4 linked regions of the Saccharomyces cerevisiae S288C genome follow. The gene in region 3 interacts genetically with the main gene of each other region. Each region holds a gene or a part of one and is shown on either strand. Other genes may lie near its edges.

The links.
Region 1: mutations in KRE1 (region 3) and CNB1 together harm fitness more than expected from each alone (negative genetic interaction), as found in Saccharomyces cerevisiae (6 studies listed by BioGRID, with this or other methods).
Region 2: mutations in KRE1 (region 3) and DFG5 together harm fitness more than expected from each alone (negative genetic interaction), as found in Saccharomyces cerevisiae (6 studies listed by BioGRID, with this or other methods).
Region 4: mutations in KRE1 (region 3) and CNE1 together harm fitness more than expected from each alone (negative genetic interaction), as found in Saccharomyces cerevisiae (5 studies listed by BioGRID, with this or other methods).

The regions. Positions count from the first base shown.
Region 1 is NC_001143.9:81,016-89,324, forward strand, and holds CNB1 (calcineurin regulatory subunit B), read left to right. Parts: upstream 1-1,931; coding exon 1,932-1,983; intron 1,984-2,059; coding exon 2,060-2,535; downstream 2,536-8,309. Other genes in the region: DPH2 (2-(3-amino-3-carboxypropyl)histidine synthase), read left to right, coding at 20-1,624; HYM1 (Hym1p), read left to right, coding at 3,689-4,888; ATP-binding cassette long-chain fatty acid transporter PXA2, read right to left, coding at 5,210-7,771; FAT3 (Fat3p), read right to left, coding at 8,269-8,309.
Region 2 is NC_001145.3:741,514-750,236, forward strand, and holds DFG5 (putative mannan endo-1,6-alpha-mannosidase), read left to right. Parts: upstream 1-4,839; coding exon 4,840-6,216; downstream 6,217-8,723. Other genes in the region: GTPase-activating protein RNA1, read right to left, coding at 1-1,222; TAF9 (chromatin modification protein), read left to right, coding at 1,458-1,931; BCH1 (exomer complex subunit), read left to right, coding at 2,236-4,410; RNT1 (ribonuclease III), read right to left, coding at 6,749-8,164; U2 snRNP complex subunit CUS1, read right to left, coding at 8,417-8,723. UniProt on the Saccharomyces cerevisiae protein: Required for normal synthesis of the cell wall.
Region 3 is NC_001146.8:32,062-40,278, reverse strand, and holds KRE1 (Kre1p), read left to right. Parts: upstream 1-6,043; coding exon 6,044-6,985; downstream 6,986-8,217. Other genes in the region: HXT14 (Hxt14p), read left to right, coding at 1-1,572; YNL320W (uncharacterized protein), read right to left, coding at 1,725-2,579; VNX1 (calcium/hydrogen antiporter), read right to left, coding at 2,857-5,583; LEM3 (Lem3p), read right to left, coding at 7,091-8,217. UniProt on the Saccharomyces cerevisiae protein: Involved in a late stage of cell wall 1,6-beta-glucan synthesis and assembly.
Region 4 is NC_001133.9:35,512-39,472, forward strand, and holds CNE1 (calnexin), read left to right. Parts: upstream 1-1,952; coding exon 1,953-3,461; downstream 3,462-3,961. Other genes in the region: BDH1 ((R,R)-butanediol dehydrogenase), read left to right, coding at 1-792; ECM1 (Ecm1p), read left to right, coding at 998-1,636; GPB2 (Gpb2p), read left to right, coding at 3,748-3,961. UniProt on the Saccharomyces cerevisiae protein: Interacts with newly synthesized monoglucosylated glycoproteins in the endoplasmic reticulum. It may act in assisting protein assembly and/or in the retention within the ER of unassembled protein subunits.

The sequences.
Region 1 (8,309 bases), on a different chromosome or scaffold from region 3:
ATCGTGCAAAGGTTGAAAAATGGAAGTTGCACCGGCCTTATCGACTACTCAGTCGGACGTGGCGTTTCAGAAGGTGGAGACACATGAAATTGACAGGTCTTCATACTTGGGGCCATGTTATAATAGCGATGAGCTTATGCAACTTATCTCGGCTTATTACAATGTCGAGCCTCTCGTGGGTTATCTGGAACAGCACCCGGAGTACCAAAACGTGACCTTGCAGTTTCCTGACGATTTAATCAAGGACTCCTCGTTGATAGTAAGGCTGCTGCAATCGAAATTTCCCCATGGGAAGATAAAGTTTTGGGTTTTAGCTGACACAGCGTACAGTGCATGCTGTGTAGACGAGGTCGCTGCTGAACACGTACATGCAGAAGTCGTGGTACATTTTGGTGACGCATGTTTGAACGCCATCCAAAACTTGCCCGTGGTTTACTCATTCGGAACTCCATTTTTGGATTTGGCACTGGTGGTGGAGAACTTTCAGAGGGCATTCCCAGACTTATCCTCCAAAATTTGTTTGATGGCAAACGCACCCTTCTCTAAGCATTTGTCACAGCTGTACAATATTTTGAAGGGCGACCTGCACTACACAAATATCATATATTCCCAAGTGAACACCTCTGCGGTAGAAGAAAAATTCGTAACCATACTTGACACCTTTCACGTTCCCGAAGACGTAGACCAGGTGGGTGTGTTCGAAAAAAATAGCGTGCTGTTTGGTCAGCACGACAAAGCAGACAACATCTCGCCCGAGGACTATCATCTTTTCCATTTGACCACCCCACAGGATCCGAGATTACTGTATTTGTCTACTGTGTTTCAATCTGTTCATATTTTCGATCCGGCTTTACCTGGCATGGTAACGGGGCCATTTCCCTCTCTAATGAGGCGTTACAAGTACATGCATGTGGCAAGAACAGCGGGATGTATAGGTATTCTGGTCAACACGCTGTCGCTACGTAATACAAGAGAAACTATCAACGAGCTGGTCAAGCTTATCAAAACTCGTGAGAAAAAACACTATTTATTTGTTGTCGGAAAGCCAAATGTGGCCAAGCTAGCAAACTTTGAAGATATTGATATTTGGTGCATTCTCGGTTGTAGCCAAAGCGGTATCATCGTTGATCAATTCAACGAGTTTTACAAGCCCATTATTACACCTTATGAATTAAACTTGGCCTTGAGCGAAGAGGTCACATGGACCGGGAAATGGGTTGTGGACTTCAGAGACGCCATTGATGAAATCGAGCAGAATTTGGGCGGACAAGATACCATCTCTGCCAGCACAACTTCCGATGAACCGGAGTTTGATGTAGTTAGGGGAAGATATACTAGCACATCAAGACCACTGCGAGCGCTAACGCACCTGGAGTTAGAGGCGGCCGACGACGACGATTCCAAACAACTGACTACAAGACATACCGCCTCAGGTGCCGTCATTAAAGGTACTGTATCCACTTCAGCATCAGCACTGCAGAATCGTTCGTGGAAAGGTCTAGGAAGCGATTTCGACTCTACTGAGGTTGATAATACTGGAGCGGATATCGAAGAAGGTATTTCCGGTGTCGCACGTGGTTATGGATTTGATCGCGAAGACGCTATGAAAAAGGAAAACAAATGACTCTTATAATTTGTTTCCCTCGACTTCTCTATTTAAATCCAAGATTTTAACTAATAAACTATTTAATAATAAAACAATTAACTCTTTATATGGAAGCCTTGGAAATTAGCCGCCAAAATGGGATATACATTCCGTGCGAAGTGACCGCGTGGAAGGCCGGGTATCATCTTAAAAATCACTAGTTTCTTTTTTAGCGGAATGCAATAAAGGTGCTTTGTGCTGGTGTGGTTTACACGGAACATCTAGTAGCTAAAACTTGGTAACTCAATGGTGATCAGAATCCATAGAAGCATTTTTATTTCTTAAAATGGGTGCTGCTCCTTCCAAAATTGTGGATGGTCTTTTAGAAGATACAAATTGTATGTACACTTCGGAGTGAGGAAAAGAAAGAAAGGGGAAATTAACCGATTTTACTAACACTGACACTTTGAACAGTTGATAGAGATGAAATTGAAAGGTTAAGGAAGAGATTCATGAAATTAGATAGAGATAGCTCAGGGTCTATTGATAAAAATGAATTTATGAGCATTCCTGGCGTTTCGTCAAACCCTCTTGCTGGACGTATAATGGAGGTTTTCGATGCTGATAATAGTGGGGACGTGGATTTTCAAGAGTTCATCACAGGATTATCCATTTTCAGTGGGCGTGGGTCCAAGGACGAAAAGTTAAGATTCGCCTTCAAAATCTACGACATTGACAAGGACGGTTTCATATCCAATGGTGAGTTGTTCATCGTGTTGAAGATTATGGTAGGTTCTAATCTGGACGATGAACAGCTGCAACAGATAGTAGATAGGACGATAGTGGAAAACGATAGCGACGGCGACGGACGTTTAAGTTTCGAGGAGTTTAAGAATGCTATCGAAACCACAGAAGTGGCCAAGAGTCTGACATTGCAATACGATGTGTAAGACTAGGGGACACTTCATTCATTTATGGTATGCCAATATTTTTAAGAAAAGAAGAATAATACGCGATATTGTTTTTTAAGGAAGGAACGCACACTCGCCCAGTTAGAGTGCTGATGATATATACATATATATATGTATATGTAACAAACAATAAGAAAGCAATGATACAACATAGAGATGAGAGAGAGCATATATGTCAGCGACGAGATATACCAAGATGGAAGCTGATCTCATGTAATAACTGCGGGGTGTACTTTGATAATTTTTGGGATTCCATTGTTATTAATAGCTTTGATATCAGACATACAGAATACCAGAGATTTTCCTCAAAAATATGGCAATGCACAAAGGGGGATCAATAGTTATATAAATTAAGATTATTACTTCTTCTTTGTTTTATGTGTTGTTATTCACTATCCCACTGCATTATCAATCCTTACATATCAGCTTCCGTTAAACCCGATGACTATCTCTCAATCATCATACTATCTTCTTACACCGTATATGATAATTACCAGCAATACTAATGCTAGGAGACAGACCATCTTTGATTCCTATTCCAATAAAGTTAAACTGTGATATTGGTTTATTGGATAAGTTCATATCCTAAAACGTGTTGACAACACTTCGGGAGTTTCCAGTAAGTAAAATTTGTATGGAGGGTTGGCCGAGTGGTCTAAGGCGGCAGACTTAAGATCTGTTGGACGGTTGTCCGCGCGAGTTCGAACCTCGCATCCTTCAGTAATTTTTTTTTTTAATTTATTTTTGTGTTGCAAGCGTTGATCCTTTCCATTATGCAGCCATAAGAGGAGGCTGGATATGAATTATTTATTACCAATATAAGGAGCATGTACCGTTGATTTTGAAGAGCCAATTGCTCCAAATTTTGGATTTTGTGTTCGAAAAAGGGAAGATTGCTCCAAACGCAAATAAGGAGGAAACCCGCTGATTGCACTCTTGGAAAAATAAAAATAAAAAGTGGTCTCAGAATTGTTTCAAAAGTGGCACTGACACAATATTTACAGGCGTTGATAGCTTCTTGTTTTAACAATACGATTTAATCTCGGAGTAGTTAAGCCAAAGAATACGTGTTATCCGTAAGAGGCTTATTGCACGTAATCCCCAGTATAAATTATCCGCAAATCGAAGACAAATGTTTAAGAAATACAAAAATCAAGACTTGGACATGGCATTTTGGTGGAAGAAAAACCCCAAGACCCCTTCCGATTATGCCAGGTTGATCATCGAACAACTAAATAAATTCAGCTCACCCTCGCTGACTCAGGATAACAAACGAAAGGTACAAGAAGAGTGCACAAAATATCTAATTGGCACTAAACATTTTATTGTCGGTGATACGGATCCTCACCCAACTCCGGAAGCCATTGACGAGCTTTATACTGCCATGCATCGTGCCGACGTGTTCTATGAACTGCTACTTCATTTTGTGGATTTGGAATTCGAAGCAAGGAGAGAATGCATGCTTATATTCTCTATATGCCTTGGATACTCTAAGGATAATAAATTCGTCACAGTAGATTATTTAGTCTCGCAACCAAAGACCATATCTTTAATGTTGAGGACTGCGGAAGTTGCTCTACAACAAAAGGGTTGCCAAGATATCTTTTTAACGGTAGGGAATATGATTATTGAATGTATCAAATACGAACAACTTTGTAGGATTATATTAAAGGACCCTCAACTATGGAAATTCTTTGAGTTTGCGAAACTGGGTAATTTCGAAATCAGTACGGAATCTTTACAAATATTAAGTGCCGCATTTACTGCACATCCTAAATTAGTGTCTAAGGAATTCTTCAGTAATGAGATTAATATCATAAGATTCATTAAATGTATTAACAAGTTAATGGCTCATGGAAGCTACGTAACGAAAAGGCAGAGCACTAAACTGTTGGCCTCATTAATTGTGATAAGATCTAACAACGCGTTGATGAATATATATATCAACTCCCCAGAAAACTTAAAGCTCATAATGACTTTAATGACTGACAAATCTAAAAACTTACAACTTGAAGCTTTCAACGTATTCAAGGTGATGGTAGCAAACCCAAGGAAGTCAAAACCTGTTTTTGACATTCTTGTTAAAAACAGAGATAAACTATTGACGTATTTTAAAACTTTCGGTTTAGATTCTCAGGATTCTACTTTTCTTGATGAAAGAGAATTCATCGTTCAAGAAATTGATTCCTTGCCGCGTATAATTTCGTCCACAACAGAAGTTTCTAATAATAATGCATCCTCAAGTAACGTCGCCAGTATAACTTCTCCATCATCAGTAATGAACAATCAATCATCCATCTTAACACATTCAACTTCACCTGATTCAAGATAACTATAAAACTTGGTTCACTTTATAAAAAATGGAAAGTTCTCAGGCAGTGGGTCGTGACATGAATATTCAAAAGTAAAATTATATATAGGAAAGTGTTTATTTGCATAAAAAGGGAAAAATAGTTCAGACTTTTGTATTTTTACGTATTTATACAAAAAAAGGTTGGTACCGGAGGCTGAGGAAGCCAGTACAGTTGGATCCGGTACATGGAATTGAGCAATCAACCGTAAATATGAGCGCTTTCTCAAGATATTAAATTATTATAAAACAATTTATTTATCCAATTTATACATGATTTGGATCCTCCTTTGGCTATGTATGTTACCTCTCCTTTCCTTCTTCCTTTTTTGTTTTAACTTTTTTGTTCAAGCTTTTATTGTTTCTTAGTAAATTTGATGATGCTGAACTAGATGGTTGGGAAAATAGTGGTAATCTCTTACTAGTCTCCTGCCCTGTAGGTGATGTGATTCGCTGCCCTTTATTTGCATTAAACAATGCATTAGATTTGGACGTTTTTGGATCTTCGATCTTTTCAAAAAGATTCAGGTTAGTTTCTGATTTACGAATGATGTTGGATTCTTTAGCAATTGTCAGATCTTTCAACTTCCGCTCCCAAAGTGGCACCTGTTGATCCAAGATGGCATTTAGTTCAAGAAGTTTTTCTTCATTACATAACCTTTCCTTCGGGTTAAACGGTCCAAATTGGTATCCGCCTTTACCATCAAATTTTAACAGATAGTTATGAAAATGCCATAAACTTGTCCTGTGGCAAACTGATATTAACGAGATACCAAAATTTTGCGCATTTTCGTACATCCTTTGTTCCATTTCTGGGGCTACTGCAGATGTACATTCGTCGAGCACAGCAAACTTGGGTTTATGATAGTACATCCTTGCCATAGCTAACCTTTGTTGGACACCAATTGTTAATTCTTCGGACCAATTTCTTACTATACTGAATGCATCACGAACTTTAATGGCGCATGGTGACTGATTGTCTTCCGTCGACAACTGCTGTGAATCATTTTTGGAAGTCCTTTGCGCCAGCAGAAGTGACATATTTTCAGTGACTAAATCCTCCAAATCTAATAATTGCAGAATTTTTATTAAATCTGCATCGCCTAGATCATAATCATTGTGATATCTTTCTTTGAATTGTTCAATACTGTCTGGATAAATAATCTGTTCCCTGAATGTCGACCTATTGCCCATATACGGCCTTTGGGGTAAATAAAATATTGCGCAATCTCTATCCACAGTTCTACGCGGCATTATTAACTTGGATTGATGATTTTTATTGGGAGTCGCCCTTATCGGCCAAAGCCCGCCTAGAATACGAAATAATGAAGATTTACCGCAACCGTTGGGCCCAATAATTAGTAGATGATTTCCATGCTTCAGATCAAAACTTAGCTCCGGTACTAGAACTTGATTGGCAGGTGTTATTAAAGGAATATTTTCAAACTTTATCCTTGAATCATCATATTCCACTATACACCTTTCATCTCTTGGTTCTTTTTCGTCATCACCTTTATTAGCATCCAACAAATCATTGAACTTGTTCAATCTCAATCTGATACCGCGTAATTGTTGTATATTTCTCTTCAGTTCCACAAATCTTCCGATAGAGCTAGATGCAGTGACTAATAATCTTCTATTTGTGATGAAATCAGCCGTCATATCATTCCCGGGTTCCTTAAGCTGTAAGGTGTCTTCACTAGGTTTGTTTTTGAAAAATATTGGAATCGAGCATAGTACCAAGCCAGCTGCGCCCCAAGTATATTTAATGACAAATGCAGTAGCAACATCATAAATAGCTCTTGCCTTTATTTCTCTGTTTAAAAATAGCACCAAACGGTAAAATGAATAATCAACGTTTTCTAGTTCCCTCTTTTGCCCTCTTAGCAGTGCAATTTCTTCATTGCTTGAATGTAGATTCGAGTGTAAAGATCTGAACCAACTTTCCAAAGATGCGCTTGCCATAGTTAACCTAGTGAAATTCGGTTGAATCAATTTTAGTAATGAATTGGAGGCGTAGACAATTAAGCCCAGTGCCAAAGTTCCTTCACCCATAACACTAGTGTTTGAGGTTAATAATTTGAATGAACAGAGGATCAAATCCAGCATTGGCTTTAATAGCTGATTCAGTAATAATGACGAGTTCATTGAAAATGTGTAAATATCTTTTGTCAAATTATCCTGAATTTCTGAAACAGATTCAGCAGAAGCTACGGAATAGAAAGTATGGTGATTAGATAGATACTTTGAGAGTAGAAAGTCTGAAACTTTCCTATTAATAGTGACAGCACAAAGTTTTGTCGTGTAACTGATCAGTGAATTAATAAAACTGGCGGGAATTCCAAGGATCATCCATTTCCCCAACAATATCTTTGTGAAGTTTGCGTATTGAGCTCTTACTAGTGTGGACACTAATTGACCATCTAAAGTAGCCACACGAAGAGACAGCAATGTTCTGATGTTCAGAAGAATAGCCTGTGTAATAAATAAAATGAGGCACTTCTTATCATGAAGCAAAAGTTTGAACAAAAAATCTACCTTTCCTTTTCGCTCTCCCCCCTTATGATTAGTCTTGCTTTCTTTATCAATTATTATTGCACCATCTTCTGAATCTGTGCTATGTTTGGAGACTATCGTTAACTCTTCTTTGCTACTTTCATCTTCCTCTCTATCTACTGCGGTTTCTTTTCCCTCTTCAATTTTCTTATTTTCTAAAACCGTTGACTCAGAATCCTTCTTATCAGTTTTGTTGTTACTAGAACTGGAATTTGAATTGTAAAGCGTGGCTAGCAACAATATTATGTATGAAGAACGCAGTAAATTTACTCTATGCTTCTGATAAAATGCAGAAGCTGTTGAGATCATTATAAAATCTTTCTTCGGTAACTTTTAATTGTATTATTATCCCTTTTGAGTCTTTTCCATATTCAAGACGAACAAAATACAGATAACAATGTTGAAGACGTTTGTTTTGTACCGGATTGAGGACAAGATGATACTTAAATATAATATTATCTTTGATCGAGCAAAGCCATCAATATCATCATCTAACATTCACTTTACTCCACATTTCATTGCCGCCCTTAATCTTTCGGAGGGTGGTAAAAACTTTACGGTGATAGTTGTAATTAACGCCGAAGGAATATACATCAAAGACGAAAGAACATTAATTGCATATATTCCAAAAATATGAATAATTACCAAATTATTATTAATTTTTGTTTTGAAATTTAAATAAAGCTATTAAATAAGGATGATGGTGTGGTATGTACTATAATTCAATATAAGAGATTAAGATAACGCTGTAAATGGTTTGGTACAATTGAAAAAAAGTGATAGAGCATTTACGAAAAAGAAAAAAATTATGCTACCAAATGTGCATTATTGTTAACAGGTCCATTTG
Region 2 (8,723 bases), on a different chromosome or scaffold from region 3:
ATTTGATTTCAGTTTCAGCTAAACGTTCAGCAAGATCATCTACTTGTACTTCTAGCAGTTCCTTTTCAAGCCTTTCCGTTTCAATTTCTTCGAGTTTTTCATCCTCGTCCTCGTCTTCCTCGTCCTCGCCTTCCTCATCTTCACTATCGACCTCTTCAAAATCGTCAACCTCTAAATCATCAAATTTGCTTTGGAGCAAATCTAAAGCATCAGAATCTTCATCTAATCTGTTACCATTTATTTCTAGCTTTTCCAATTCAGGTAAATTTCCCTTTTCCATAGCCGGTAAGAAGGATACTTCAATGGTTTCTTGAGCCATTTCATTATATTCGAATTTCAAGACATGCAAATTGGGGAATTTAACTTCGGTGAATACTTTAAAGACTTCATCTGAACCAGCAGTTTTCAAAAGACAGTCGTTCAAATTCAATTCAAATAAACTATCCTTCCATGTAGGCAAGGCCTTAGCAAGGATCAAAGAAGCATGTTTCGTGAAAGTATTGTCTTGAAGATCCAAGATTTCCAAGTTTTTCAAGTACTGTAAACCGTAATGAATTAGCGTGGCGACACCTTTAGGCCTAATACCATTTTGGTACAGCTTTACGACTTTCAAACCTTCGGAGTGGCTTTTCAAACCCAGAGCTAAGTAGACTGCGGATCCATTCTCTAATCTATTTCTACCACAGATAAAAGTTTCCAAAAATGGTTTGGAAGCAGCTTTCTTATTTTGAGCGAGATGAAATAGGGCCTTACCAATCCTTTCACCAGCAAAAGGGCCCATACCATTGTTACTTAAGATCAAATGTTTGATATTCACGGCATGTGCAATGTAATCTTCTAGTAACTCGATTGTTCTTAGCCCAAACGCATTATCAGAAAGGTTCACAATCTCCAAGTGAGGACATTTCAACAGAACAGGCAATAAAAACTTCAACGAATCAACGACTTCGTCAACCAACCTCGAAGTGTATAAGTCAGCAAAATTTACTTCAACCAAAGATTCCCTGACCTGTGTATTTTCAGCGATGCATTTAGCTAATGCTTCCGAAGCTTCAGTACCGATTGTATTCCCTGAAAGGTCTAATTTGGTACAGGTTTTCAAAGCTGCCAATTCTTCCAGGTATGGTTTGATATCGTCACTGGTTGTTAACTTGAGTGCCTTCCCAGAGATGGAGTAAACTTGTTCTTCCTCGTGCTGAGGAACGAAGTGCAAGGTAGCCATAGCTAAAAATCTGTTTCGAAAGACAGCCTGTTAAAATGGCCTATATTCACCTTTTACCGTGATATTATGCCTTTGATCAATATCTTCCTAATAAATTTTTTTCCATTAATTGTCCCACAACGTGCATAGTGACATGCATTCCATGACCAAACTAAGAGCTTTAAATCAAAAGTAGAATTTGACATTATGAAACAACACGACAACAAGAAAAGACTAGAGGACTTCACAGACCATTATGAACGGCGGAGGCAAGAATGTTTTGAATAAAAACTCAGTGGGCTCAGTATCAGAAGTTGGTCCGGACTCAACACAAGAGGAAACGCCACGAGATGTCCGTCTTTTGCATCTGCTCCTCGCATCACAGTCGATTCATCAATATGAGGACCAAGTACCGCTACAATTGATGGATTTTGCACATAGGTACACACAAGGAGTCCTTAAGGACGCGTTGGTTTACAACGACTACGCTGGCAGTGGAAATTCTGCCGGCAGTGGATTAGGAGTAGAAGACATACGGCTTGCCATTGCAGCGAGAACACAATACCAATTTAAGCCTACGGCACCTAAGGAGCTCATGTTACAGTTAGCTGCGGAAAGAAACAAGAAGGCATTACCTCAAGTGATGGGTACGTGGGGTGTCAGGCTTCCCCCAGAAAAATATTGTCTCACAGCGAAGGAGTGGGACCTTGAGGACCCAAAGTCTATGTGAATGCACCGCTTATATATCATAAGTACACTAAATCAAGTTCTTCCGGAAGATGCGTCATGTAGAATGCATAATAGAGTAATATACACTAAATAATGCGCTAGTCGTGTATCGTGATCATGTTCTCTAATGTTCTTTTTCCTGCCTGCCCTTTCCTACATGGAAAGTTAGAGAAATGAGATCTACACGATAATGTAGTAACAAATGGACCCTTAAACATCTCAATTCATCTTCTTGAGAGCACTTTCCGCGCTGTATTGATTTTTAGAACGTGAAAAGGATAAACTGAAAACTTGAAGTCCTAACCATGTTGTCTCAAACCTCCATACCGGAAGTGAAAGAAGACGTGATAGGCTATGCGCTACACCAGAGGAGAGCCAGAGTGGGACAATTCCAAGACTTGGGTCCGCCTGATTTAATTACTTTGATCAAATCGTTACCTTCATCCTCGAGCACAACAACTGCTACTGCCTCCGCCAACGATAACGGAGCAACTTCAAACATCAATGGACAAGATCCTACGACCATAGTTACGGAGTTACATTCCCATGACAAATTAAAGGGGCAGATCGGCACTTTCTTTTACTGTATGGGTATCGATACTTCGGATCCAACTTCTATTACAATCTTTGCCAAAAAGATAACCGATCTTTTCTTAGACACGCCCCAAATTTGGTTTGGTAAGAAGAAGCACTTTCACGTATCGAAGATTTCTATCAGTTCTTGGAATGCGTTTAGGAAATATGATGTTAACATTATAGTTCACATTCCAGGAACTGTGCAAACCTACATTATAAATAGCGACGGTGAACAATCGCAACTTCCCTCCGTGGCAGAAGCGTCATCTGGCCGCAACTCACAGGATTTAAACGTCAACATGATTTGGGCGGAAACGTTTATGAGTGGTATTGTACGTGACATTATGATTATGAAAGATAATCGTGCGGATGGAGAATCCCAGAATTTGGTAGAAACACTAATTTTCAATCCATTTACCTCGGGTGAGTTGGAAGATGTTGCCAATAACTTTATTAAACTGTTCCCCTTGGTCTATGAAAAAGGTGTTTATTTAGATGCACCTACTCACGTTTTAAATCCCTCGTTAACCAATAATTATTTAGTGGAAACTTTAGTGGAAATAGTTAGGTTAACTAAGAGTTTGGAAGCATGTCGTAAAATGCTCAAGAAGTTAATAGAAATTCATCCAGAAGCAGTAATAATATTAATTCGTGTTTATTTTGCGTGCGATTTAGAGATAGATGCAGTTGACCTGATCAACGAGCAACTAAATTCCCCCTCTTCGTTCTTAGCCGACGATTCAAAGACTAGCCATATCCAGCTAATCTTCAAATCCGAATTATTAAGTATTCAAAGTGAATTCTTACTGGATGTCAAGAGAGATTACAAGCTTGCTAAGGAAGTAGCCATGGAGGCTGTTAACTGTGCACCAAACGAATTTAAAACTTGGTATTTATTGACTAGAATATACATTAAACTAAACGATATGTCAAATGCCTTGCTATCGTTAAACGCCTGCCCCATGTCACAGGTTAAGGAAAAATACGTTCTTAGAAGAATTGCGCCTATTACTTCAGATGAAAATCTTCATCTGCCATTACCATTGGATGCCTCAATTGAGGAGATTTCGTCATTGAACCCCATGGATGTCCAGTTGGAGCAAAAGTCCGCAGATCCAAACCTAGTCAATCTCTCTGCGTCAAGTTTAAAGTCTACTTTCCAACTAGCCTATAAATTATTGACAGAAATTGTCCAAATAACAGGATGGGAGCAGCTGTTGAAATATAGATCAAAAATTTTCGTTATGGAAGACGAGTACCAAGGCTCCACTTCTTCCATTGATGAAGCAGAAGTTCGCGGTAATGATATATCCAAAATGAGATCAAAGAGGCTATGCGAAAGATGGTTGGATAATCTCTTCATGTTACTATACGAAGATTTGAAAACTTACACCGATTGGCAATCAGAGCAATTGTATTTTGATGCTCAAAACAGTAAATATCACAAATTAACTGTTGAATGGGAATTATTCGGCCTTTGTGCGAAAAGACTGGGACATCTTCCAGAAGCTGCGAAGGCTTTCCAAATTGGGCTTTCCCAAAGATTTTCTCCAGTATGCGCAAAGAATCTATTACAGTTTTACATTGACGAGCATAAGCGTATTAGGAGGGATTCAGTCTCAGCAAACTCCGAGTTAACCTCTTCTCAAATATTGTCAAGTATCAATGACATCGACAGCTCAATCATCGATCTAGTAGTCAAGATTTGTTGCTGGAATCATCGTTGGTACATCGAGTTCTCAATAATATTAATAGATGCTCTGAGTGTTGCAGTACAAGATATGGGCATTACTAAAGTACATAATGAAATTGCCTCTAGATTTTCTGACCCAGTAGCCCAATTGATTGACGATAACATTCTAAATTTTCTGAAGAATTTCACGAATGACACTTTCGATAATTAGAAAAAGATGAATACAATCAATAAAAAGGTGAAAGAAATCAATTAACAAGAAACGGGTTATGTATTTTATGTATGATATCCTGGCATTGTCATGTATAGGTCACCTTCTTGGGGAATTTCCCATTTTCAAGTTATTCTGCCTCTAATGCGATAACCGTAATCTTAAATTGTTTAATTTCTTTTTCACAATCTGAGCCACGCCCGAAAAAAAAACAATGTAATCCGCGTAAAGCGAAACTGAGTATAACCCAAAAATAGAATGTAAATTAATGAAAAGCCCATTTCTCCAAAAGATCAGCTTTACTCAAATATCTAATTAAGTAATTGACTGTGTACATTGTCCTTTATCTCATTTTGAATCACCTTTATTAATTTTTGGTTGTTATATAGGACGAACAAATTAGAACGAAATCATATCCAGAACGCAGATATGATCGTCAATATTAGTGCGAAGATGATCTTATCGATATGCTTTACGTTTCTGTCATTTTTTAAAGCCACTCATGCCATGGATTTGGATACTACTAGCAAAACGTCAATTTGTGATGCGACAGCGTTAATTCAAGGTGGTATGCTGGATTACTATGAGGGTACTAGATACGGTGGTACCGTTGGGATGTTTCAGTCACCATACTATTGGTGGCATGCAGGGGAAGCATTTGGTGGCATGTTGGAAAATTGGTTTCTTTGTGAGAATGATACATATCAAGAATTACTATACGATGCACTATTAGCGCAAACTGGTTCCAATTACGATTATATCCCGTCCAACCAAACGATGGTTGAGGGGAATGATGACCAAGGTATTTGGGGTATTACTGTTATGGGTGCTGTCGAGAGAAATTTTACAGACCCCGGTGACGGCAAGCCAGGTTGGTTGGCAATGGTACAAGCTGTTTTCAACACCATGTACTCAAGATGGGATTCAGAGCACTGTGGCGGTGGTCTGAGATGGCAAATTTTCACTTGGAATAGTGGTTATAATTATAAAAATACAGTTTCAAATGCATGTTTGTTCCAGATTGCGGCGAGGTTGGGCAGATATACTGGTAACACTACATATTTGGAGGTTGCTGAACAGGTTTTCGACTGGCTAGTGGATGTCGGGTATGTGGTTCTTAACGATACTGCAAATGTCTTTGATGGTGCTGAAATTGATACAAATTGCACTGATATTACAAAAATTGAATGGACTTATAATCACGGTATCGTGCTTGGTGGTCTTGCATACATGTATAATGCTACAAATGGAACAGGTGAATGGGAGACCAGTTTGACAAAAATTCTAAATGGTGCTAAATCTTATTTCTTCAAAGATAGTATTATGTACGAAAGCGCTTGTCAAGACTATGGCACCTGTAACACCGATCAAAGAACATTCAAAAGTATTTTTTCTCGTATGCTTGGTCTTACAAGTGTCATGGCTCCCTTTACTAGGGACACAATTGATGATTTGATAAAAACAAGTGCTGAGGCCGCTGCAAAATCATGTAATGGTGGTACAGATGGGCATACATGTGGTTTAAATTGGCAGAAACAAACCAATGATGGCTACTATGGATTAGGTGAGCAAATGAGTGCTCTAGAAGTTATTCAAAATCTTTTAATTCATGACAGGCCAGCTCCATATAAGGAAGATAATGGCGGTACGTCAAAAGGTGACGCGAATGCCGGTATGAACTCATCGACCACTAACGTGCTACAAAACAATTTAAACATTAAGAAAGGTGATCGCGCTGGTGCCGCTATCATCACAGCAGTCATACTGAGTGTGCTAACTGGTGGGGCTGTGTGGATGCTGTTTTAAATGTGTCAAACTAGGCTCAAAAAAATTTTATTGTATTCTAATATTTAGGCTATCCTTTTCTTTCAGTAAAAATGTTTATGTGCTACATACAAAACCCTTCATGATCAAAAACTGATTAAAATTTAGAGAGGAACAATTGTTTTTAAAAAAAATACTAAAAAACACTCACGATGGGGGTCGAACCCATAATCTTCTGATTAGAAGTCAGACGCGTTGCCATTACGCCACGCGAGCTAGTCATATGTTTCTTTCGTCTTTTTCATCTGATGACATTCTAGTGGAACATTTATGGTAAGATACCGATTCCATTTTAAGGATTTCTATACCCTCGAGGAGAACTTCTAGTACATACATAATTTTATAGCTTTGACCAACAATGGAATCCCAAAAATTATCAAATTTTTTATCAAATATTCAAATATATCAAATATTCTAATGTTTTATAAACGTTTTATGAATGACATATATGCGATAATTATATGGCTAAAGAAAATCAATGCAAGTTCCATCATGGTTGTGTAAAAGGAACGTTTCAGCTTGTATCTGAGAATTTTCTTTTCTTATTCTTTTGTGAGGGATCTTTTAACACAGATTCACTCCTAGGAATGGCAGCTCTTTGTTTGGCGTAAAAATCTAACATTTTTTTGTCACGAAGAGCATTTTCTGCAGCCCTAATACCCGCAATTTTGATATTTCTGCCCACACCGGTCCCTAAAACTGTTCCATCACCTACTCTGCACTCAACTATGGAATTAGGATCAACTGCAGTGGGTTTTTTTACGGTAACATAATGTAGACGTAATGAAGCATAGCCAATCAAAGAGTAAAGCTGCCTTTTAGCATTCATATCAAGTTTATCCGTCTTCTCCAAGGCAACTTGATTACGGGTAGCCTCCTCAATGACAGGTTTGGCAAGCTTTCTTAACCATTTTCTTATTTTGGGCAAATTATTCCTTGGATCATCTTCCATCAAGCCGCCAATGTAAGCTTCGAACACATCTGCATACAGTTTTAGTTTGCCGTTTTGAAAATTGGAATTTTCATCCTTCAAGTCAAAATTTGTCTTAAGTTTCTCATGGAAATTGTACATTATTGACCATTGTTTGATCTGTTCGTTGCTTACCAAATTCATCCTTAATGTTGATAACTGACCCTCGCTGTAATCGGGAAACTTGTTATAAATAATTAATGTCATAACAGAATTTAAGATCGAATCGCCTAGGAATTCTAGTCTTTCATTATGTGCGTTGATCATTTCTGATCCAGACAAGTAAACTTTATCCTTTATTGTGGATTTGTGAATAAATACCCTGGCCCTAATCGCTAAATCTTGAATCTCTGGTAATTTTGGAGGCCATTTTGTTGCCTTGACGATATCACCAGCCTTTGTTGGGTCATAGCTATCTTCTCCTTCGTCTTCTTCTTCATCTTCCTTTTCATTTAAATTTTCGTACACATTTACATCTATTTTCTCTCGCTTTTCCCTTTTAACTTGTTCTAGCTTCTCTAACTTTTCCATATCAGCTTTACTGATTTCTTGCAATATAGGTTGCTTTTGTTCAGTATCAAATTCATTTTCATAATCAGTAATTTCTGTCAAAATTGCGTCTTTTTTAAGATCATGTAAGGTTTTTAATTCAGCTGCCAGTTTTAATTGATAACGTGATAGAGAAGGAAGTATCTGAACAGGCACTCTATCTTGATTGTTAACGGCTTCATTGTAAGCTACCAAATTTGGTGAAAGTTCAATTATTTTATTGTAAGACTCCACCAATTTTGTCACAGCATGTTCTAGTTGAATCACCTCAAGATATTTGTAATTTGATATCTTAAGGTTGCCTTTCAAAAGCGTCTTGGTATTGATATTTTCGCGCTGCTGTGAACCATTTTCGTTATCTAGTTTATTATCATTCTGGGTTTTCTTTTTACCTGCTACTTTTGAGCCCATTGTTTTGAAAAGCTTGTAAATAGGACAGTTTTGCTCTCTTCTATATGCGCATTTACTTGCCTCACTTTGATCGAGCAGGATTCTCCTGAGAGTGACTATATGACCTGATAATGAGATAAATTTTGCGATGAGCTCATGAAAAATTTCAGCATGGTTTAGGGCCGCATTTAAAAAAGAAAAAAACTCGTACGTGAGAAATAGTACCACATGTAAAATTTTGTAAAACTGAAGTACCTATGCGATATTTAGTAGTTATTTCAATACAGTATATAGTTGCTTCTCCGATTCCTCTTCGTTTCTCTCAAGTTTTTCTTCTGCGCTTGTCACTTCGGATATGTCTTCCTGGAAGTGATCTAACTTATGCTCTACTTCATCATCGATTTTGTCATCTTGGCGCCCATTTTCCGCATTCGCCTGTGTATCCTCTTTTGAATTTTCAAATTCAGGGGTTTCAAATGAGATCAATGCGCCAAAATAGTTTCTACCCTGTTTCTTGGACCTTGAATGGTGATTAGGGATTATTTTTCCGTAAACGTCGCCTTTTAAATTCGTTATATCC
Region 3 (8,217 bases):
CACAATAATGAGCTTGATGCAGGCAGGGGAAGGGATTATAATGTAACCATTAAGTATCTAGATGATAAAGAAGAAAATATAGAAGGCCAAGCAGCAAAGATTAGTCACAATGCGAGTCTGCATATTCCCGTTTTATTGTGCTTGGTAATCTCGCTTGGTGGCTTTATTTTTGGATGGGACATTGGAACCATCGGTGGAATGACAAATATGGTTAGCTTTCAAGAAAAATTTGGCACAACTAATATTATCCATGACGATGAAACAATTTTTGTATCTACTAAGAAACTTACTGATCTGCAAATAGGCCTAATTATCAGTATTTTTAACATCAGTTGTGGCGTAGGGGCTTTAACTCTGTCAAAAATCGGTGATTGGATTGGTAGGAAAGGTGGTATATGGTTTGCCTTAGTAGTGTACTGCATCGGTATAACCATTCAAATTCTCTCCTATGGAAGGTGGTATTTTTTGACATTGGGAAGAGCCGTAACGGGAATCGGTGTGGGAGTAACCACTGTCTTGGTGCCAATGTTTCTCTCCGAGAATTCTCCACTAAAAATCAGAGGCTCCATGGTATCTACGTATCAATTGATTGTAACATTTGGCATACTAATGGGAAACATTTTAAATTTCATATGCGAAAGATGTTATAAAGATCCTACACAAAATATAGCCTGGCAATTGCCATTGTTCTTGGGATACATTTGGGCAATTATAATTGGAATGTCACTTGTTTACGTTCCTGAATCTCCACAGTACTTGGCAAAAATCAAAAATGATGTGCCCTCTGCTAAATACTCTTTTGCGAGGATGAATGGCATCCCTGCGACGGATAGCATGGTAATTGAATTCATCGATGATTTGCTGGAAAATAACTATAATAATGAGGAAACTAACAACGAATCAAAAAAGCAAAGCTTAGTTAAAAGAAACACATTTGAATTTATTATGGGAAAGCCAAAGTTATGGTTGAGACTGATTATTGGTATGATGATAATGGCATTTCAACAGCTGTCCGGAATAAATTATTTCTTTTATTACGGAACGTCTGTTTTCAAAGGTGTCGGGATTAAGGATCCTTATATTACTTCAATCATACTGTCAAGTGTTAACTTCCTTTCTACGATATTAGGCATATATTACGTGGAGAAATGGGGCCACAAGACATGTTTATTATATGGTTCAACAAATTTATTATTTTATATGATGACATATGCTACTGTGGGGACATTTGGAAGAGAAACGGACTTCTCAAATATTGTTTTAATTATCGTGACTTGTTGTTTTATTTTTTGGTTTGCAATAACATTGGGCCCAGTTACATTTGTACTAGTGTCCGAATTGTTCCCTCTAAGAACGAGGGCCATATCAATGGCTATTTGCACATTTATCAATTGGATGTTCAATTTCTTAATATCACTTTTAACACCAATGATTGTATCCAAAATTGATTTCAAACTAGGATACATATTTGCTGCTTGCCTATTAGCGTTGATAATATTCAGTTGGATACTAGTTCCTGAAACGAGGAAAAAGAATGAGCAAGAGATCAATAAAATATTTGAACCGGAGTAGATATTACATAATATAAATAGAAGAAGTAGCAAAGTGCAGTTTTTTTTTCCATAATAAATAACCATCAGTAACTAAGTGGCCGTGAGGACTGACCACATTTTCTTTACATACAGTAAAGTAAATAAATCTATCAAATATTTTGATTATTACTTTTAGATAAAACCCTTCTCTATTAGAAAATCTCTTATTATATCCCAGTACCCATCTTGAATAATAGTATCATTGTGTGAACCAAGTGGAAATTCGAAAATCTTTTTGTTCGAACTAGGACATGTTTCGTACAGTTTCCTCATGTGGAAGGGTGGAACGATTTCATCTTTTAATCCACTTAAAAACAAGAATGGCGTCTCTGAACTACAGCTTCCCATAAGGCCTTCTGAATTCCAGATTTCGTGACATAAAAGCGTAAAGCGTTTCAAAAGGGGGAAAATATATGGGATAACTTTTCGAATACTCAAAAATGTATTCTCCAGTATAACGCCATCGCATAGATCCCGAAATTTTGAAGCAATGTAAAGAGCATTAGCACCACCTAGAGATCTACCATACAATACTAGTTTTCTCTTTGAATGGAAAGAATCCGTTGACAAATGCGATATGACACAATCAGCGTCCAATTTCAAACCCTTTTCGCTGGGTGAACCTTCTGAGTTACCATAACCACGATACGAATAAATAAATACACTCATTCCAAACTGACGATAGAAAATGTCAATTATTAGTATAAAGTATCCAATATTACCGGCATTGGGACATAAGATCAACACAGTACTTGTTGAGTTTTCATTCTTGATATCCCATGCCTCGAGTTTAATGTGGTCTTGTGTAATTAGGGTTAGCTTTTCATAAGGGATTCCACGGGAATCAGGAGTGTCAACATGATTCCTGGCGCCTTGAGCCCATGATGGGTAGACTAGGCGATTTTGGTAGTGATAAAGGGTCGCAACCGATATTGTTGTTAGCGCTACCAAGCCACCCAAGAACATCTTAGAAACTTTCCACAACATGAGACCAGAAAAGGATTCTACAGTGCAATTGACGGAGAAATAAAAAAGGGAGCAGGTGTGGGCTTGATTCGAGTTATTTCGAGGAACGCACCTCTCTAAGTATAAGAACAACCCAATTGTGAGTAGATCAATTTAAGAGGTGTTAATGATCGTTGCGGGTAATTAATTAACTAAAGACTATATAGAATAAAAAGTAATAAGAAAGACAAACAATACAAAGATATAAGAAAAAGAAAAATTGGTAGGTATCCAGGTGAAAAGCGGGGACAGTTGCTTTCTACTCCGAAAGAGCTCCCTGGAAGTAGAATCCTACAACAATAATGATATATAGTAATATCAACATGGAACCCTTGAAATAGTTACTTTTACCCTCAGCATACAAATAGGTGAACATGAAAACACTCGTCATAGCACCAAATATGTCCCAACGGGGAAAGACTAATGGGAACATCTGTGTTCTGATATTAATCATCGACTTTTTAACATTCCACGTATAGAAAATGGAATAAATGACTAAGGATGGGATTTGTAAAAGACAAACCTGTAAAGCATAAGCACTACCGATTTCCATTGATAACGCTACATTACCATGGATGGCAAATGAAATGGCATTCAAAAACTCTGTCGTATTGGGGATCAGAGCAAAAATGGTGAGACCTAGAAACTTTGGATTCAAGGAGGGAATATCTTCTAGGACAGCATCAACACAGGAAACAAGGATTTCTGCAATTATTGCGTACAGGAGCGTAGACATAAGTAAAATACAAGTAGACTTGCTTCTTGACCAATTGGGTGCATCGTGAGAATTTTGTTCCTGTTGTTCTGGTGCGGTCGAGGTTGGGTCCGCAATAGGCAATTGCCAAATCATCTTTGCATGTGTTCTAAGGGTGAACCACAAGCCAATGATATAAGCACAGAAGAGAACAATGGCACAAGATATGGACATAGGTTGAATAACATGAGTGAATAAACGGTTGAACTTCAGGGGAGGATGCGAGAAAGTACAGTCACGGTCGTTAGCACCGTCTGCACAGTTTACCGAGTAGCCGCCATATATCTCGTATAAAACGGTGGGGACAAACATTACAATCATGGAAAATATTAACAATGCGGAAGAGACACCAGCGCTAGCAGGGTTGTATCTTTGTGTTTTCCTATTTAGAGCACCACCGCACATGGACAGACCTGGTAATAATAGAACGGCACCTAGAATGGAACCAATCATGGATCCTTCCACTAGAAGACCCTTTTTTTGTTGCAATGCAACGCAGTACAAGAAAATTTCCACAATGGTCGAGAAAAATGCATTAATGACAGCACCGACACCCATGGAAGTTTGAGCAGAGATCGATGCGACTGCTTGTCCAATGTAAAATGCTAGTGGGATGGTGGATGTCAAACAAAGAATGAATATTGAGGATTCGTATGTGAACCACGTTTTCCAATGCAGGAAATTTTTCAAAACATAAAAGTCAAAAATTGTAAAGAAAACGATGGATATTAAATTCACAACAATAACATTTGTACCATCAACTGTGTACTTGTAGTAATGCCAGCCAGCGGCACGGAACGTACATAAGAGGATATTTTTGTTCAATTGCTGCTGGGTTATTTCATTTTCGTGCGATTGGGAGGAGTTCTCGACATATTTGAAGCCTAATGCAAGCGGATGTCTTCTGCAATGATACATAATTTGCCAAAGAACATTACTCATGGGAATGGTAAACACCAGGAGCCAGAGGCAAAGAGATAAGACGGCAAGGATGGGTTGCAAGACGAGATGGAAGATTGTATAGAAAAGAACACGACCCCAGCTCCATTTTCCTCTCCCAAAGTACCGTCTTTGAGCCGCTGCGTGCGGAATTTCGTGTCTAATAGAATTATATGATGGATGGTTCGAGTTAAGCGGTGTTGCTGTTGTGTTAGCGGGCGGCATCAAAGACGAAGATTCCGTTGCAGGGGCCGGATGGTCCTCTCTTTGCTGAAACTTGGCCTGAGACTGGTGGAAGACCAGCCTGTTGGAGTATGAAGTCACCCAATTGTAGAATTGCTGCATACTAATACCTTCATCCTTATCTTCTTGTAAATATTGCTCGTCCTGCAACAAGTATACCATTTTGCCAAAAGGCCAAAGGAAATAATTGGCGAGTTTATACAGACACTTGGAGTACTCCTTCGCAGAGTTCGTTACCAGTCCTCCGCCGCCTAGTAAAAATACCACAATAGCCGCCGAGTAGAAGAGTATCGCAATGGGGAAACCGAACAAAATAAACCATAGCACATTGGAACAAGTCACCTCCCAGGTAATAGTCTTCAACTGAGTCTCGTGAATGTCTTGCGCCGCGGTTCTTTGAACTGAACGGTGTTTCTTATATAAAGCAGGCTTCCATATCCTGATACCGAAGGGGTGGGTCTCGTTGATGGCGTCCTGTCTTTCTCGTAAAGTGAATGACTCTGTGGACGAAGCATTAGACGCCTGGTCATTGTTTTCCAAGTGTGAAGGCGACTGGCAATTGATCTCGTCTATAAGTAAATCATGGCCGTGCGAGTCGTGTATAATGAACCGACTGTCATCATTGGCGTCCTCGTCATCATTGTCATCATGAGGTAATTCCCGGATAGATGAATGCATTCGTTTCGGAGAGCTGGGAGTAGCTGTATTTAAGTCTGGCACAGAGTGCGACTTGGAGGATAGCGACTCTAGTGTGGGCGGCAAGTGTTGTTGGTGCTCGTGGTGGTGCAGCGTGTTGTTGCTGCTATGTACGATTGGTGATTGCGAGCTTACAGATCGCTTGGATTTATTGGCATGCAGGGCGAACTTCAACCCTTCATGCAGACCCTCAAGATACCTGATATCGTTTTGGATCTCCTTTGGATCATCGTCCACGCTAAATATTCTATGAGGAGTCGAGGCAGATGTAGTTGGGGTCAGAACCTCCTCTTTAAGACGATGGTCTCCAGAGGTACTGTTACCACTGGCAGAAATGTGGTTATTTTTGGCCATTGCTGCTTACCGCTCTTCTAGCTAGCAGTTATTTCACTTTCATTTACAGCATCCCTCATGTTTATTATCTTCTTTATCTAATATAAATTAGGAACTAAATAATCCCCTCACCGTATAAAGCGACAGTTCCGTGACGGTTACTATTATGAATATCTCAACGGAAAGAGGGCATTAAAAGATCATAATAGTTGGTACTCTCGTATTTTATATATATATATCACTATATTTTAACACTTTTACTGCTCAATTGTGCCATATACTTCGCCTTATTGCGTACATTCTTCACCTTGTATCCCCCTACCTCAGCGTGTATGGTGATATCGCGTTTTTTCATAAACTGAGAATGGGGCTTTTTCTATAACGTGTATTATGAAAAAAAGAAAATAAAAATCAAGAATTAAGCACTTGTATATGCTACAGTAAAGACCTCTTCAACTTCTGCAAGACAATCAAAAAAAAAATGATGCGTCGCACGCTATTACATTCATTCGCTACGCTGCTACTTTCTTTGTCGTTGTGGTCAGCTGCGGTCATGGCAGCTGTGACAACTCAGGTTACAGTGGTAACAAATGTCGCAGGGGCCCTGGTTACGGAGACCACAATATGGGACCCTGCCACCGCTGCTGCTGCTGCTACAACTACCGCTCAAACAGGTTTCTTCACTACGGTATTCACTACCACTAACGATGTCGGAACCACCGTCACTCTTACTCAGACAGTCAACAGAGCCACTATGCTACCAACCACGACGACTTCTACCTCATCTACTGGTAAGACAACCACCACTGTTCCTACCGCAACTTCATCGTTGTCTTCGGGACTGTATTTATCTACAGTTACCACGACAAACGATTTGGGTACCACAGTTACATTGACTCAAACGTTCACACATTCTAGCACCAGTGCTACTTCATCCGCCTCCTCGTCTGTGTCCTCGTCTGTATCTTCGTCTGGTTCATCCTCCAGTGTAAAGACGACCACATCGACAGGGAGCGCAGTAGCTGAAACAGGCACCAGGCCAGACCCCTCCACAGACTTCACAGAACCTCCTGTGTCTGCTGTCACTAGTCTATCTATTGACTCATACATTACCATCACTGAAGGTACAACCTCCACTTACACAACCACACGTGCGCCAACGTCCATGTGGGTCACTGTTGTTAGACAGGGCAACACTATCACTGTGCAAACTACTTTTGTCCAGCGTTTCTCCTCCCAGTACGTAACAGTCGCTTCTCCCTCCGTGGGGTCTATTGGGATGGGTACTTTAACCGGTACTGTAGGCGTTATTAAATCTGCAATAAAGAAAACAGTTTCGCATAATGAGGCCCAGCATCTAGGTATGAGTTCGTTTACTTCAATTTTGGGTGGGCTATTAACGGTTTTAATTTGGTTCTTATAAATTTTTATTCAGAAATAAACACAAACATATACATATATAAGAGTAAAAATAAAAAAATAAAAAAATTTTACAGGGTTAAAAATAAAGAAAACCATCACTCCTTTTCTATTTCATATTCCATGACAAACTTGATGCATCAGCAATCTTTCTACCGCCGAAGAGCCAAAACGTTAATAATATCAATGCCATGGCAGCACAAATACAGCCTCCAATCAGGTAAACTATACCTAAAAATGGATTTCTACCGCCAAGGTGAGAACCGTGAGTCAAGTAGATTCCCTTCTTACCATTAAACTCCAATACTGGCCAATGCAGACCGATATCCAACTGGTATTCACCCGCTGGCAAAGTATCGTTTTTATTGATTCTGATCAGTTTTGTAATTTTATCAAAAGCACCTGGCCTCATCCAGTTTTGGAACTCTTCCCAATCCTGAATATCAGGAATATTCGTCTCGTTGTATCCATCTGGATACATCTTTTCCCAATATGGTGGAGGTGCTATCTGTGTATAATTGTATTTGGTTTTTTTGTACCTTTTTTTATCAGATTCCCAATTGATTCCTTTATTTGTCAATGAATAGTTGTTAGACGTATCCCCTACATTTGTTAACTGCAGGGGGAACGTGTCGTTGAACATTGAGTTCGCAATTAGGCCACATGGATAGTATATTTTACCATCGGCGTTCTTAGATAGTGGCTTACAATTTATACCGGTTGCATCATGCACCGTCTCATAAGAGGCGTCCTCCCCACGTATCTGATCTTCGCTAAAAGATAGTACATATCTTCTGTGATTGGCAGCAAATTTTTCCAGCACATAATTCAAATATACGTTATTTTTCATATCACTTGGAGTAGTGAACCTGATTTGGCATGTACCTCTTTGTTTTGTGAAGTCATCTGATTCATCATCCACAAACCTCCATTGTGGTGCAGTATTATATGTTTTATATTTGTGAAATACAAATTGCCAATGTTCAGAAGGGATGTCGCTCCATGATGAGGTTGCGTTAGTCATACAGTCCTGGTAATATATGGTTACTTCATCCACTTTGGAGTTCTGTGCTAATATGCACCCTCCTACAATAACAAATACAACAGCAATTAACAGATAAAGAGGCAAAACTGTCCTCGGCGTTAACACCGGGTTTATAGCCGCTAATCTTTGTTGAGTGAATGCATCCTCTTTGGGTCTTCTGTTCTTTGTACGCACAGGCTTTACTTCATCCT
Region 4 (3,961 bases), on a different chromosome or scaffold from region 3:
TGTGATGCTTGTCAGAGGGGCAGTGAAAATCTATGTACCCACGCCGGTTTTGTAGGACTAGGTGTGATCAGTGGTGGCTTTGCTGAACAAGTCGTAGTCTCTCAACATCACATTATCCCGGTTCCAAAGGAAATTCCTCTAGATGTGGCTGCTTTAGTTGAGCCTCTTTCTGTCACCTGGCATGCTGTTAAGATTTCTGGTTTCAAAAAAGGCAGTTCAGCCTTGGTTCTTGGTGCAGGTCCCATTGGGTTGTGTACCATTTTGGTACTTAAGGGAATGGGGGCTAGTAAAATTGTAGTGTCTGAAATTGCAGAGAGAAGAATAGAAATGGCCAAGAAACTGGGCGTTGAGGTGTTCAATCCCTCCAAGCACGGTCATAAATCTATAGAGATACTACGTGGTTTGACCAAGAGCCATGATGGGTTTGATTACAGTTATGATTGTTCTGGTATTCAAGTTACTTTCGAAACCTCTTTGAAGGCATTAACATTCAAGGGGACAGCCACCAACATTGCAGTTTGGGGTCCAAAACCTGTCCCATTCCAACCAATGGATGTGACTCTCCAAGAGAAAGTTATGACTGGTTCGATCGGCTATGTTGTCGAAGACTTCGAAGAAGTTGTTCGTGCCATCCACAACGGAGACATCGCCATGGAAGATTGTAAGCAACTAATCACTGGTAAGCAAAGGATTGAGGACGGTTGGGAAAAGGGATTCCAAGAGTTGATGGATCACAAGGAATCCAACGTTAAGATTCTATTGACGCCTAACAATCACGGTGAAATGAAGTAATGACAAAATAATATTTGGGGCCCCTCGCGGCTCATTTGTAGTATCTAAGATTATGTATTTTCTTTTATAATATTTGTTGTTATGAAACAGACAGAAGTAAGTTTCTGCGACTATATTATTTTTTTTTTTCTTCTTTTTTTTTCCTTTATTCAACTTGGCGATGAGCTGAAAATTTTTTTGGTTAAGGACCCTTTAGAAGTATTGAATGTGGGAACAAAGACGACAAAAGGTAGTTTTTTCCTTGACTATACTGGTAAGATATCGTCTAAAACAAAGCATGGCCAAGAAAATATCAAAGAATTCAAGAGCTGCTAGACAATCGGATGCTCTTGAACCAGAGGTAAAGGATTTAAGTGAACTACCTAGAGCTGAAAAAACCGATTTGACTAATATTTTGATTAGAACAGCAGCCAAGAATGAGGCATTGCTGGAAGCAAAGATATCTAAGAAAGCCAATAAAAGTAAGAGGGGCAAGAAGTTAAATAAAAAGGCTCTGGAAGACAAACTGGCCAACTCTATTTCATCCATGGACAGGGATCGTTTAGTGAAGGCCTTGAATTTTACCAATCGTCTGGACGGTAAAATTGCCAAGTCCATTTCTCGTGCCAAGTACATTCAAAATACAAGAAAGGCTGGCTGGGATAGCACCAATGAGACTATAAAAAAAGAGCTGGCTTTTTTGAACGGAGGGTTGTCTGTGCAGGCAAAAAGTGCTAGTGAAGGTAATGCTGAAAAGGAAGATGAGGAGATCCCAGAAGTTTTTGACTCTTTAGCAGAGGATAACACAGTGCAGAAGACTCCTACAAATAGATTCGGTGTCCTGCCAGACGATGTTGAAGAATAGAAAATTTTCATATGAAAGGTCCTAGGAATACACGATTCTTGTACGCATTCTTCTTTTTTCTATCTTCTTTCATTCTTTGTACATTAGATAACATGGTTTTAGCTTAGTTTTATTTTATTTTTTATATATCTGGATGTATACTATTATTGAAAAACTTCATTAATAGTTACAACTTTTTCAATATCAAGTTGATTAAGAAAAAGAAAATTATTATGGGTTAGCTGAAAACCGTGTGATGCATGTCGTTTAAGGATTGTGTAAAAAAGTGAACGGCAACGCATTTCTAATATAGATAACGGCCACACAAAGTAGTACTATGAAATTTTCTGCGTATTTATGGTGGCTGTTTTTGAATCTAGCGTTGGTGAAAGGCACTTCATTGCTATCCAACGTTACATTAGCGGAAGATTCTTTCTGGGAGCATTTTCAGGCTTACACTAATACAAAGCATTTAAACCAAGAGTGGATCACAAGTGAAGCCGTCAACAATGAAGGCTCTAAAATATATGGTGCACAATGGCGACTATCACAGGGTCGATTGCAAGGATCCGCATGGGATAAAGGAATCGCAGTTCGAACAGGCAATGCCGCAGCTATGATAGGACATCTCTTGGAGACACCTATTAATGTTTCAGAAACGGATACCTTGGTTGTCCAGTACGAAATTAAGTTGGACAATTCTTTGACGTGCGGCGGTGCGTTTATTAAGTTAATGTCTGGTTTCATGAATGTTGAAGCATTAAAACACTATGCACCCGATACAGAGGGTGTCGAGTTAGTTTTTGGTCCGGATTATTGTGCTCCTGAAATAAATGGCGTGCAATTTGCCATCAATAAGGTTGACAAGATCACACATGAATCTAAACTAAGATATTTGCAAGAGATGCCCCTGTCAAAATTAACTGATACCTCGCAATCTCATCTGTATACGCTCATAATAGATGAATCAGCGCAGTCTTTTCAAATTCTTATAGACGGTAAGACGGTTATGGTAAGAGAACATATCGAAGACAAGAAAAAGGTCAATTTTGAGCCACCCATTACACCGCCTTTAATGATTCCTGATGTTTCAGTAGCGAAACCGCATGATTGGGATGATCGCATCCGAATCCCAGATCCTGAGGCGGTGAAGCTCAGTGATCGGGATGAACGAGACCCATTGATGATTCCACATCCAGATGGCACTGAACCACCAGAATGGAACAGCTCCATCCCCGAATACATTCTTGACCCAAATGCTCAAAAGCCCTCGTGGTGGAAGGAACTTGAGCACGGGGAATGGATACCGCCCATGATTAAAAATCCTCTTTGCACTGCAGAACGTGGTTGTGGCCAGCAGATACCAGGGCTGATAAATAATGCCAAGTACAAAGGTCCAGGCGAACTCAATGAAATCATAAATCCCAATTACATGGGGGAATGGCATCCACCGGAAATTGAAAACCCGCTATACTACGAAGAGCAGCACCCATTGCGCATCGAAAACGTTATCAGTGGTGTGATCCTCGAGTTTTGGAGTGGATCTCCAAACATGTTGATAAGCAACATTTATGTTGGTAAAAATGTAACAGAGGCGCAAATTATTGGGAATAAGACTTGGCTGATGAGAGACCGCGCGTTTAGAGGCTCCGATGGCCCCACAGAACGCAAATTCATGAATAGCAGACTAGGAAATCTACAAACAACTTTCCATAACGAAAGAGAATCCCCTAATCCATTTGACCGCATTATAGATCGCATATTAGAGCAACCTCTGAAATTTGTGCTTACTGCGGCCGTCGTGCTCTTGACGACGTCGGTTCTTTGTTGTGTAGTATTTACATAGTGGACAAGTGTTAGTTTATAACATGGTCTCAATAATTGCACCACAACGGCTTCTCTTTTATAGATGGTTAACATTATAGTATCAATATTATCATCATGATTAAATGATGATGTATAATACTTACCCGATGTTAAATCTTATTTTTTCATGCAGTAAGTAATCATGCAACAAGAAAAACCCGTAATTAAGCGAACATAGAACAACTAGCATCCCCGATAAGACGGAATAGAATAGTAAAGATTGTGATTCATTGGCAGGTCCATTGTCGCATTACTAAATCATAGGCATGGAAATTTCCAGTTCACCATGGAACGACGGTGGATACAGCCCCTATGAGAGAAACAGAGTCGCTGTATCACCATTTTCATCAGCGTTGGAAGGCGAAGAACGAATAGAAACCTCTCGATCTTTGGGTGATCATTGCTTTGAACCTTTGCCATACGTGACGAATTATCTTTCTATTTTCGCGCTTTTTGGTAAAGAGATATTTGGTGACAAGG